Macaca fascicularis: one gene and its partner. The protein of the gene in region 2 interacts with the protein of the main gene of each other region in a biochemical or structural test. Links are inferred from orthologs where the notes say so. Each region holds a gene or a part of one and is shown on either strand. Other genes may lie near its edges.

What was found. The genes of interacting proteins can lie anywhere in the genome.
Region 1: the proteins of PARD3 (region 2) and JAM3 form a complex in vitro, tested with the Homo sapiens proteins (2 studies listed by BioGRID and IntAct, with this or other methods). The link is inferred for Macaca fascicularis from reciprocal best matches to the Homo sapiens genes PARD3 and JAM3.

Annotation. Positions count from the first base shown.
Region 1 is NC_088388.1:132,544,880-132,550,329, reverse strand, and holds the end of JAM3 (junctional adhesion molecule C), read right to left. Parts: intron 4,701-5,450; coding exon 4,571-4,700; intron 4,484-4,570; coding exon 4,429-4,483; intron 3,812-4,428; coding exon 3,776-3,811; 3' UTR 1,242-3,775; downstream 1-1,241. Other genes in the region: NCAPD3 (condensin-2 complex subunit D3), read left to right, coding at 1-52. UniProt on the Homo sapiens protein: Junctional adhesion protein that mediates heterotypic cell-cell interactions with its cognate receptor JAM2 to regulate different cellular processes. Plays a role in homing and mobilization of hematopoietic stem and progenitor cells within the bone marrow.
Region 2 is NC_088383.1:35,574,673-35,580,712, reverse strand, and holds the start of PARD3 (partitioning defective 3 homolog), read left to right. Parts: upstream 1-2,486; 5' UTR 2,487-2,583; coding exon 2,584-2,703; intron 2,704-3,487; exon of another isoform or gene 3,488-3,623; intron 3,624-6,040. UniProt on the Homo sapiens protein: Adapter protein involved in asymmetrical cell division and cell polarization processes. Seems to play a central role in the formation of epithelial tight junctions. Targets the phosphatase PTEN to cell junctions.

The DNA of each region.
Region 1 (5,450 bases), on a different chromosome or scaffold from region 2:
AGCCTGTAGCAGGAGGTCCCTGCGAAAGACCCCTCTGAAAACAGCCAACTGAAGAGCGCATCCCCACCAGTGTCCGGGCGGGCAAGAGCCCCTGAGGAAGCCGTCTCGTGTCCTCCGTGTGGACAGGCAGCTGGATCACTTCCCGCAGTCCTTGGGCAGCGCTTTGCTGTGGAACACGAGAGCTCCTCCTCAGGGGCCTGGCACTCACCTGCATTTAGCCGGCCAGCCCTTTCTATGCTGTATGATATATATGGTTAAACACTGTAAAATAGAGATGTGCCAAATTTAGATTTTCTTACCCTAAGCCTAATCTATTTAATATTATAACTTTATTCCATTTGAAAGTGTCAAGCCCATGCAGATAAGCTATAATCTGGTCTTTAAAAACTTCAGCTTTCTTTTATATAAATCAAGCCTGTGTTAACTTGTTTGAATTCCTTATAGTACATATTTTCCCATCTGTAATGACAAAATATTGATTGTAATATTTTTTCTATTATTTATAATTGCAAATTTTTAAAATATACAGCTTTCTAAAAGTAATAAATGTTTAGGATAAATACAGCCTTCCAGTAAATAGAATGTTTCTGTTTTTAGAACAGAGCTCTTACTGGTAATCATTTTAATTTTACGTAAAGCATGTTAGAGGAATGAAACCAAATCTTTCCTATTAGAAAAAAAATGATTGTCTTGAGGGGCAGTTGATCTGTGCCCATGCAGAGGCCATGTGCTTTCTATAACAGACATAAACAGCATCGCTGCTTGTGAAAAAATAGCTTTGCGGCCTTCCCCAGAGCAGCACTGATGCCGATTTGTGCAGCCCTCTGCTAAGGGCTGCTCCCGTGATGGGGGAACGGCTTGAGTCTCTTCTGTTCACTCTGTTGGGTAAACTTAACGATATTTTTGTTCAAGAATATCCAAAAAGAAATGCAGTTGGCTTGTTTTTTAATCCCAGTATTACAAAAGCAAAAGTACAAAGTGATTATGTGTGTTGGTTGGTTTGGGGGATGGATGGGATGCCACTGAGCTCTGCCCCTGCTATCCTAAGTGGGAACTGCAACGCAGGTGGACTCGGTGGTGGAGAGGCGCAGCGCTGCTCTGGAGCACACAGGCCGACATTCTGCCCAGGCACCGACCCCCCTGGTGGATGAGTGACAGCATTTTTAGTGCGCGCGCCTAACCACTGAAATGCCAGGAAGAAGAGACAAACACAAGAGCAAACAAGAAAGAATGAAGCAATGTTTGGGTTTTTTTGAAGCTTTTATAAATGAGGTTAAACAAATACCAAATTACAGGTGTGTTAGTACAAGTCTGTAGTATCTATGTACAGCAACGTCCATCCAAAGGCAGAATCACAGCCTCGTATCGGCCTCGAGTCTTGAGTCACATTCGTATCTTAAAATACACAAGTGTTCCTTTTCTGTCTAGTCTGTTATAGGCAACTACTTCCCAGACTCCACTTTCACTTCTCTCTACTTTGTCCGACCTGGTTCCCATGGCACTAGTGTGGAAGGTTTTAGGGTGTAAGAAGAGGAGGCAGTAAGGCTACCCTATCACTATGACAACCAAGAAAGAGGCTGGAGCGCCACTCCCCAACGCTGAGGGTGGGGAGCCATCCCTCTACCACGGTGGCAATGATGGAGGGAACTCGCATGCTCAGTATCCAGGATGCCATGCAGAAGACACCAAGGAGCACTGAGCCACTCTTGGAGCATTTCCTGCCTCTGCCAGGCGGCCTGCAGCTAAGTGTTTCACATAACTGAAAAAAGTCAACACAGTCTCATGTATGCAATTAAACAAAAGCTGTCAAAGTATAAAAAACTCAAGACACTGGAAGCTGAAAGACAAGGTGACTAGTGAGAGCCACTCTTCAGGCACACAGTGGAGTGCTCCTCCTGAGCAGCTCCTTGCTTCAGAGCACTTCAGTCCTGAATCCAGCACGGCAGGGCGTGTGAGGCTGAGAACACGGGCTTCTGAGCGATGTTTCTAATGTCCCCCCACAAATGGGAGCAGTGTCTCCGGCAGATGAAAAATTTAAAGTCAAAAATTAGAAAACTGCTTTTGATTCAGGCATTTCACTTTCCTCCCCGCCAGGCCTTTCACCTGGCTGCTCCACCTGACATTCTTCAAAAGGCTGGACTGGCTGCCACTCCATAATGGTTTGTTTTGAAATGAGACAGAACCTGTGGCGTCTGGGTGCTTTCTCTGTGGCAAAGAGGAACAGTGGGATCCACGTTCTTTTAAAAATATTATTGTACTTGACAGACTTGATTTCACAATTGCCTTTGGCCTTAGACAGTCTTAACAAATAATTAAACAAACTTAAAAAAAAATAGCAGTGGGGACTCTGTTTTGTGAGCCATCCATAACCAAAAAGGTCTGTTACGGGAGCCCAAAGTTGGGACACAACGTGGAAGACACCAGTGTCCCTGGAGTGCCCACCTTAGAGCTGTGCTGGATGAAGCAAGGGCCATGTGAGTCAAGCTCACTGGGGCACAGCCACTGCCAGGGCCCAATGATGGCGGGGCCTCCTGGCAGATAGCGAGGCAACACTGTGCTAGAGCGGGGGCGCCTGGGGCAACCCCAGGAGCTGACTGGCGTCTGTCTGTACATCTGAGGACTTCTGGGTGGCCTCTGGGTACAGACTGTCCTAGTCATCTCAGGAAGAGGCAGTTCAAAGCTAACCTGAGAGGTTTCTTTTGAAGAGATGCAAACTGATTTTAACATTGCTCAGCTGGAATTTTTAAAGGTTTCCTAAGCAACTACGGTCTGATGTGTAGACCGCAAAAGTTCCCTTGTGAAAAAGGCTAAAACTTGTGCAAGAAAAGGAACGTCGCAGTAAGCTTCCATGAGAGGATTCCTTGGGTAAAATACTCAATTATTGATATTTTCCAATTTAACACTAGTAGCTTGGAACTTCTACCTTAAGCTGAACTTTTTTTAAAAAAATAGGTTATTTAACATTGTATGACAATATATTTACAGTTTAAATAGAAATTTCAATAATCAAAATACATCCTTAGCAAAAATTTAGATGCAAAATTTTATAAAATAAGACCCATAGAAAAGCATATTTCAGTACCATTTCAGACTCAGCCTAAGACGAAGGTTTTCCTTAAATCCTGACGCCCTGTTGGACAAGCAGGGTTCCTCAGGCAAGATCCCTCTTCCAGCAACCAATCTGCCTCCCTGACTTCGGTGGTTTCTACAAAATGCTGATCCGACAGGCTTCTCCACAGTGGACACTGCGACACCGATCAGCAGAGCCTTTGAGAAGAGGCTGCAGTGGTGTCTGCGGCCGATGAAGAGGCTGCTGCATACAAAGCCTGTTCTGGGTGCCTGCTGGGATGTGCTGCTGGTGCTGCACGGCCCCTCGCCGGCTCACAGGGTGCTGTCCTGGCTGCTGAACGACCAGTGGTAAACACGCTGGCTTCACAGGGCCCAGCACAGGGGCACTGACGTGAGCAAGCTCTTTAAGATCACCCTAATACTCGTGTGGGAATCAGGCCAGAAACAGATTGGGAACCCAACTCGGTGAACGCACCCAGTTTCTCTTCCTTGTGGTCATATTTACTGGGTCCATCTTGAGGAAAATTCTTTTATTCATGTGGCTTGTTAGAGTAAGAAGAGTAGTGGTCAACTTTGGCCAAAACAAAAAGCTTCTGAATGAGTGTCTAGCTCTGTCCAAGTGCATCAGCTCTCGCTGCCTCGACAGGAGTTTCTAGTAGAGGTATGTGCATGTGCGCTCTGTGCGCTCTCAGCCACACTGCGGGTCTCAGATCACAAACGATGACTTGTGTCTGAAGTCGCCCTGCAAAGCCAACACACAGTTAAAGCCATCAAGGGGCCTGGTGGCAAGAAGGGAAAAACACTGAGTAAGTCTAACATGGGCTAAATACAAATCAAATAATCATTCTTTTTTTTTTTTTTTTTGAGACGGAGTCTCGCTCTGTCGCCCAGGCTGGAGTGCAGTGGCCGGATCTCAGCTCACTGCAAGCTCCGCCTCCCGGGTTTACACCATTCTCCTGCCTCAGCCTCCCGAGTAGCTGGGACTACAGGCGCCCGCCATCTCGCCCGGCTAGTTTTTTTTGTATTTTTTTAGTAGAGATGGGGTTTCACCGTGTTAGCCAGGCTGGTCTCGACCTCCTGACCTCGTGATCCACCCATCTCGGCCTCCCAAAAGTGCTGGGATTACAGGCTTGAGCCACCACGCCCGGCCCAAATAATCATTCTTAAAAAGTACCATCACTAGCGCCTGCAAAGCACAAATCCCATTAGTATGTGTGTGTGTGACTGTGAAGGGGCCGAGGAGCTCAGGAGCTGCACAATCACTCAGCAATCTTCCTAGGAGACCTGTGTGGTTTCCAAGGAGGAATGCTGTTTTCCCTGCTGGGTACACCTAGATTTCCAGGTTTACTAAATGATTACCTCCTCGTCAGTGCGGATGTAGTTGACTCCATCTGGTTTCCCTGGGTTCTTGTAACTGTGAGGAGAAGAGAGCAGTTTAGCAACAGGGTTGTTATATGATCGCCAGCTTGAACTTCCCTTTTTTCACATAAGGCAGGCTCACCTTTCTCCATCCTGTTTATTGTTGATGAAGTAGCCACGTCTGTATGCACAGCAGATGCCCAACGTGATCAGGGCCAGTACAGCAAGGACAACCAGAACCCCCCCAATAATTCCGCCAATGTTCAGGTCATCTGAAGAAAGGGAGGTTTGGGGAAAGCCATGATACACACTATCTGTTCTTTAAAAAGGCCCTGACCCTGCTGTGCCTCCTTCCTTCACCCCAAACCCACTTGCCCCCTGCCCCCTCAGGCCTACCCCAGCTAGAAGAGAGAACTTAATCTTTCTAGCCTAGAACATATAGGACACCATAACTCCTAACTTCACATGTGAAAAGTACTGAGACTTCTACAGCTGAAATGCAGTTACACTGAAAACTGTATTCAAGTGGGCTTGGCACTGTAGGCTTAAAAATCCTCTGGCTGAATGCCCGAGATTACTTATGGGGGAGATGGTTATGAGGACAAGATTAGGAGCCAGGATCCCAAGGAAGAAAAGAATCCCTAATTTCCAGGGCCTCTCTGTTGTGGACTGCTGTGGGGAAGAAAGTTAGTTTCAAGTCTTACTTAAAAGTAAAGAATCCTAGGTAAGAACTAGAGCTCTGCCTCTGCTGGCTGCCTGACCTCTGATCTATACGCCCTCTGAGAGGAGACCCCTGGAACCCTTTCTCATGTCTGTACACTCAGCAAAAGCACTGGGTCACCTTCACATGGGGCTCTGGCAGTCGTTTCCTTCAAGCAAGCAACACATGGAAAACTGCAGGGAATTTATCAACAAGAGCCAAGTAACTTGGAGTTTTAAAAAATCTCCTTTATCCTAGTGTATTGGTTCTCAAATATGAATGTACACTTAAAAATCAATTTGCAGGCTGGGCGCAGTGGCTC
Region 2 (6,040 bases):
GCCGAATATGGATCTGAACCTAGATCTGTATGATGTCCTAGGTACTCTGGTTATTACTGAAAAATGACTTTCGATTAGAATTATTTTGAGAAAGCCCCACTCTAATTTATTACACTCAAGCTAGTATACCCCTCTGAACTAGTATAGCATGTAAACTAGTATACATTCTCTGCCACGCAGTGGCTTGCGCTGTAATCCCAGCACTTTGGGAGGCTGAGGTGGGCAGATCTACCAGCCTGGCCAGCACGGTGAGACCCTGTCTCTACTGAAAATACAAAAATTAGCTGCACGTGGTGGAGGGCACCTATAATCCCAGTTACTTGGGAGGCGGAGACAGGAGAACCGTTTGAACCCAGAAGGCGGAGGTTGCAGTGAGCCAAGATCACTGCCACAATCTTAGCTCACTGCTGCCTCAGACTCCCAGCCTGGGCAACAGAGCGAGACTTGGTCTCAAAATAAATAAATAAAATAAAAATACATAAATAAATTAAAACAAAACAAAATAAAATAAACTAGTACACATTCTAAACTAGTAGTACACTCCTCCAATGCATAAAAACAGAAACAACACCTATAATTATCAGTAATTGTTGTTGTGGATCCAAGTATCTATGTAAGAAGCAAAAAGCCCACAGCAACAGTTGTTGTCATCGTTGTCATAAACTTAATTAGTGGGTAGAAATGTCTAGTGCTGCAGCCAAACAGCAGTAGGAGGAGCCTTTCCCATGACTGAGTGGAAGGAGGGAAACCTAGACTATTTCTGGGTCTGCCTTGCTTGAGCTTTCTCTGTCGCCTTGGGCAAGTGACTTTGGCCCTTGGTCAATGTCCTGGAGTAAGATGGGGCTAGCACCACTGCACTGATTTGCTGGGACAGGTGGTGGAAAGTGGTGGTCCAGGGCTGGGAGAGGAGAGGAAGGGCAATGTTTCCTAGGAGAAACTGCACTATGCTGGGGCAGCTGTGGTGCTGCAAAGCGCAGGGAGTGTGGCAAGCGGACGAACCTCATGTCTTGTTTCCTTGTTTTAAGATTGGAGGTGGAGTGGGATGGATGGTCAATCGCCAGCTCTTCCACCTCTAAGTGCTCAAGTTCTGCGCCAACCCAGGGCAGCTTGATTGCTTTCACGTCCCTCGGAAATAACTGGCAAAAAAGAATTTCACATAGTCTGGAACGGGCTTGGGACAGGGACCACTCTTTGCTGACATTTGTCATTCTTTAAACATAATGACATACGTTTATTAAGGAATCATAGTCCATAACTAAGACAAAATGAGCTTCAGTTACGTTCCCTAACTCGGATCACGTTCCTTCAGAACTTCTCAAGCCCGCATGTCACTCATTGCGGAGTCGGAGCCTTCCTCGGGGTTCAGGCGTCTGCGTTAAGCGCGGGCACACCGTGGGGATTCCCGCGTGAGCTTTCTCCGCGGCGTCAGAATAGGCTGTTCACGGATTCGCGTTAGGATTGCTTATGCTGCAGAACTTGAAAGAAATAAATGTATCAGAATTGCGATGTTTACGGTCTAATCTATTTAAGTGGGTGGGTCAGCGGAGGGTCAACAGGAAACTTCAAGGTAAACAGTGACCTCTGAAAAACGCCCGGTCGCTCACAGCTTCCCCACTGCCTCCCCAGAGCAGACTATTAATTCTTGCGTTTCAGGCAGAACTGCCGCTGCCCGACCCTGCAGCCGAGCTAGGGAGCGGGCAGGGCAGAAACCCAGCGGAGCAAGCCGCAGGCTCGAGTCCCCGAGGGCAGAGAGGCTCGGGCTGGAGCCTCCGGGGCGATGAGGAGGGGACTCGCCGCGCTGAGCAAAAACTGCCTTCCCCGGGAGCGCCTGCACCCGAAACCCTCCAGTCCAAGGAAGGGGATTAAAAGTGACAAAGGAAAGGGAAGGGGGGGGGGCTCCGTGGAGACCTCTGGAGGCGTGGAAGGGGCGTCCCCGAGGAGGGGCGAGCGCAGCCCTGCAGGGAGCTGGGCGGGCGGGGTGAAGGGGGCTGGGGGGCGCCCGGGCCACGGTTGGTGGGGGCAGATGGCCGCCTGCCCGGGTTGGCGGTGGGACCAGGGGTCCCAAGCCTCCGGAGGGAGGGAGGGAGGGACGGAAGGAGGCCGGCCCCGGAGGGCGGTGGCGGGGGCGCGGGCTGCGGTCGTGCGCTCCGCCCCGCGCGGGTAGCCGGCCGCGCCTCCCCCTGCCGCATGTGCGCGGTGTTGTGTGCCCGGCCCTGCTCCTCCCCCTCCCCTCCCCTCGCGCCGTCCCCTCCCCCAGCGGCCCCGAGCGAGCGCCAGCGCCACACAGCCCCGGGCCGCCGCCGGCGAGCGCGCCGAGACGCCGAACAGGTGGCCGGAGGCTGCGGGCGCCGCGGCGGGGAGAGGCGAGGCGAGCCCCGGGCGAGGCGAGGGTGGCCGGGCCGGACCGGGCATGCGAGCTGAGCGGCCCCCCGGCGTCGCCGCCGCCTGCCCTCGCCCCTAGCCGCCCGCGCGTCCAAGTCCCCCGCGGCTCCTCCGCGCCCAGCGTCCCTGGTCCCGGCCCCGGCCCCGGCTGCTCCGGCTGCGCTCGGCGAGGGGCGCGGGCCCGCCCGCGGCGGCGGCGGCATGAAAGTGACCGTGTGCTTCGGACGGACCCGGGTGGTCGTGCCGTGCGGGGACGGCCACATGAAAGTTTTCAGCCTCATCCAGCAGGCGGTGACCCGCTACCGGAAGGCCATCGCCAAGGTGAGGGGCCGGGGGCGCGGGCGGGGAGGGGGCGGCGGCGGGGACGGCGCCGGGATCAATATGGCGCTTCCTGGAAGGGGGAGGAGAGGCGCAGGGAGGCGGGGAAAGGGAAAGTGCGGCCGGGCCGGCCTCGCGGGCGCCCCCCGCCCCGGGCTGCGGGCGCCAAAGTTGTCAGCGCTGGCCGGGTCGCAGCCTCGGGGGCACCCAGCCGGGTCCCGCGGCCCCCGCCCTCCCCTTCCCCATCCCCCTTTCCCCGGGAGCTCCGGCCTCAGGAGCGCGGGGCGAGCCGGGCAGCGGCGCACAGGCCGGCCCTGGGCGCTTCCCCGTAGTCTGTAGAGCTAGCCAAGCCCCGAGCCGGCGCGCAGGGGCGCGGGCCGGGAAATCCAGCCCCAGGCCTCTCCCGGCTCCCAGGCCCCGCGGGCACAGGCCGGGGACTGGGAACTTTTGGTGTGAGGAGAGTTTCGTGACTGCCCTCCCGACGGAGGCGGGCTGCGAGCCTTCTGTCTCCTCTCCCTTCCTCGGGCGGGGGCGGGACCGCGGCGGGGGGTCTTTTCCTCCTTGTCCCCCGCGAGCAGGGGCGGGCAGGGGCGCGCGTCCGGGGGCTGCAGGGTTTGGGGAGTAGCCGGCTTGGGATCGGGGAGGCGTTCCCGGGAGGGCCACCGGTGGCACTCAGCACTCGCTTGCGAGCATTTACTGAGCTGATCCCCCTTACTGGGCTCTGGAAAGCACAACCTTGAAACGGTCGCGGAAAGAAAAGTTTTCCTGCGAGGACCTCAGCTCCTACCTATCCTGGGCTGCTTCCATGTGGCTGGGCTGCGGAGCCGGGCCTGACTTCAGAGTTGAGTGGATTTCCCTTTTTCTTGCTGTAGTGATAACATTGTCTCCACTTCACAGCATTCCTCTACTATGTGTCAGAAGTGAAAAGGCATTTTGCTAAATTGTTTTACCGACTGTGTCTGTGTTTGACAACAGCCCACGCTGAAGTTTCTCCCAAGCACCCGGGGATATTTCCTTTGTAGTAGAGTCCTCTTTGGTGGGGAGTGCATTCACTTCGGTGCAGTATTTCCCATTTGTTCCCGACAGTGGCCTGGCCCCTATGGGCTTGGGGGCTGCAGATGACGTTGGAAAGTGGCTTGGTCAGCCCTATTTAGCGTACACAGGGTACTCCGGTGGCATCTTCAGTTCTCTCAGAAATTAAAAATAAAAAGCTTTTTAGACTGCTGTTTTGCTTTTAGTATACACTGGAAAAAGTAGCATAAATTTGGGCTTTTAAAGATAATTTTGGGGGACGTTTAGGAACCCGGCACAAGGATGGAAGACATTGGCTTTAATAGCTCTGTTATGTTCCTTACAGTTGGTTGAACTCTTTTATTGAAAATCAAATAAAATTAGTGGGAATTGGACACCTGTTTATCTTGCAAAGCTGACAAAGGGAAAGAAAACCATCTCAATGGGCATTTAGCTTTTTTAAGTGTTGTTTATGTGTGACAGTTTATGCTTTAAGTGTTCCGAAAGAGTACTCAAATTGTTCAGGCACTCTGGAAACCAACAAAATACTTTGTGCAAGGAAAGAGAAATAAAGTAATATGCACTCTGCAGTATGTCTAGGCTCCTGAATAGGGAGAGGGTGATCGACATTTTCTTTCACTTTATTAATTTTATGTGATTAAAATTGTTTTACCTACTGTGTCCCATGTTTCATCGTGCACAAAATAGACATAGGCTGAACTGCCTATTTGACAGTAGTTCAAATGTTGTTTGAGGCATTCGTTCCACAGAAATTTTGAAGCTTTGACTGTGTTCACAGCACTGTTCTGGGTGCTGGACATCTAGGGGACCCACTGGCTGTGAGAGGCTGAGCAAGAGGCTGCGCAGTCCTCCAGGTGAAGGGGCTGGTGGTGACATGGGGAGAAGAGGGGCCTCTGGGATGCTGGGTGGCTAAAGCGCAGGGCCTTGGTCACAGACCTGGTCCTTGTTATTAACAATTAGCAGTGGTTGTTTCACAGGGCATAGAAAAGGGAGTGCAGTTTTCTTACGGGTGTCTGGGGAGGTGTCACAAAGAGAAAAGGGGGCCTGTGAGCTGAAGGAAGGGAGGGTGATAGTGACATGGGAGTTGGAGATGAGAGGGCGGGTCAGAGATGGGTCAGGGGTTCCAACACTGACATGCTCTTTAAGTACAACTTAGAGTTCAGTGGGTGAATTTTAACGGGGGCTTTGCAGTATACCAAGTTCAATCATTGGATCCCAAGACTGTTGACCCTCATGTTGCCAGAGCTTGAGTGTCTTCTAGGTCTCCTTTTTCTCGTTTTTATTCTGAAATTGCTAGACAATGATTGAGATTAATTTTCAGTCTTTCTTACTACTTTTCCCATTCTATATTAAGTGATGAGGAAGTGATATTATGTATTTAACACTGTTTTAACTTTTATTCTCTGTTCCTTACCGGTATTGCCTAATAGAACAAGAGAAATTCTGTATGAAGAATTGGGTGGCTGGATAGTTGTGGAGTGGTGTTTAGGTTGCTAGGTGACATGTGGTGTGATGAACTCCCATCTGGTGGGGAAAAATGTGGGCAGATCATGTTTATGGCTTTGTATAATAACCAACCAAGCCAAAAATAAAAAATAAAAAGGAAAAGAGAAAGATCCCAACTCTCAAATCACCAAGGCTTTCTCTGCAGTAAACATTTTCTGGTGTGGTGGGGCTAATTTTCTGGCATTGCATCTGGGCTGTTTTCTCTTCAGGTTACACAAATCAATTTTTCTGGATAGTGAAATGTCATGATTTAATACTAGACATGTCCTCAGTGAGTAGATATTTGAAGGCTTGCGCTTAGTCATGTGTGACATTTCTTTTTTCCTTTCATGAAAGATGTTTTTGTGGTTGTGATCACTGATGAGTGGGAATAGCTCTTCATCCTCATCCACCCATCTGCATTAGGAGCCTTGCTGAGGACAGTGCGGTGCTAGACATTGGGAACCACGTTACGTGGACCATTCTCATGGGGGTGTAGGATGGGAGGATGGACTGTGTCTGCATCTGTTCTTCTGTGCTTGCGACCTGATACCCGTGATTATGGTGCTGAGCTGCAGCGCTAAGTGTGGGGTTGGTTGAAGGGCTGCTGTGTATAAAAAGTCATGCTGTATGAAAAAAATATGATTGAATTCGTGCACTTTTCAAAAAAAAGTATAATCTAGGAGACAGGAAGAATATATAGCAGTGTAAATAACAGTAGGTGGTAGCATTATTGGCACCAGTGTGATACAGTCAGTAATCGCTTCTGCATTTTGGAGGTAGGTACTATCATTATGGGGTGCGTGTGGGAGTCTCATGTAGT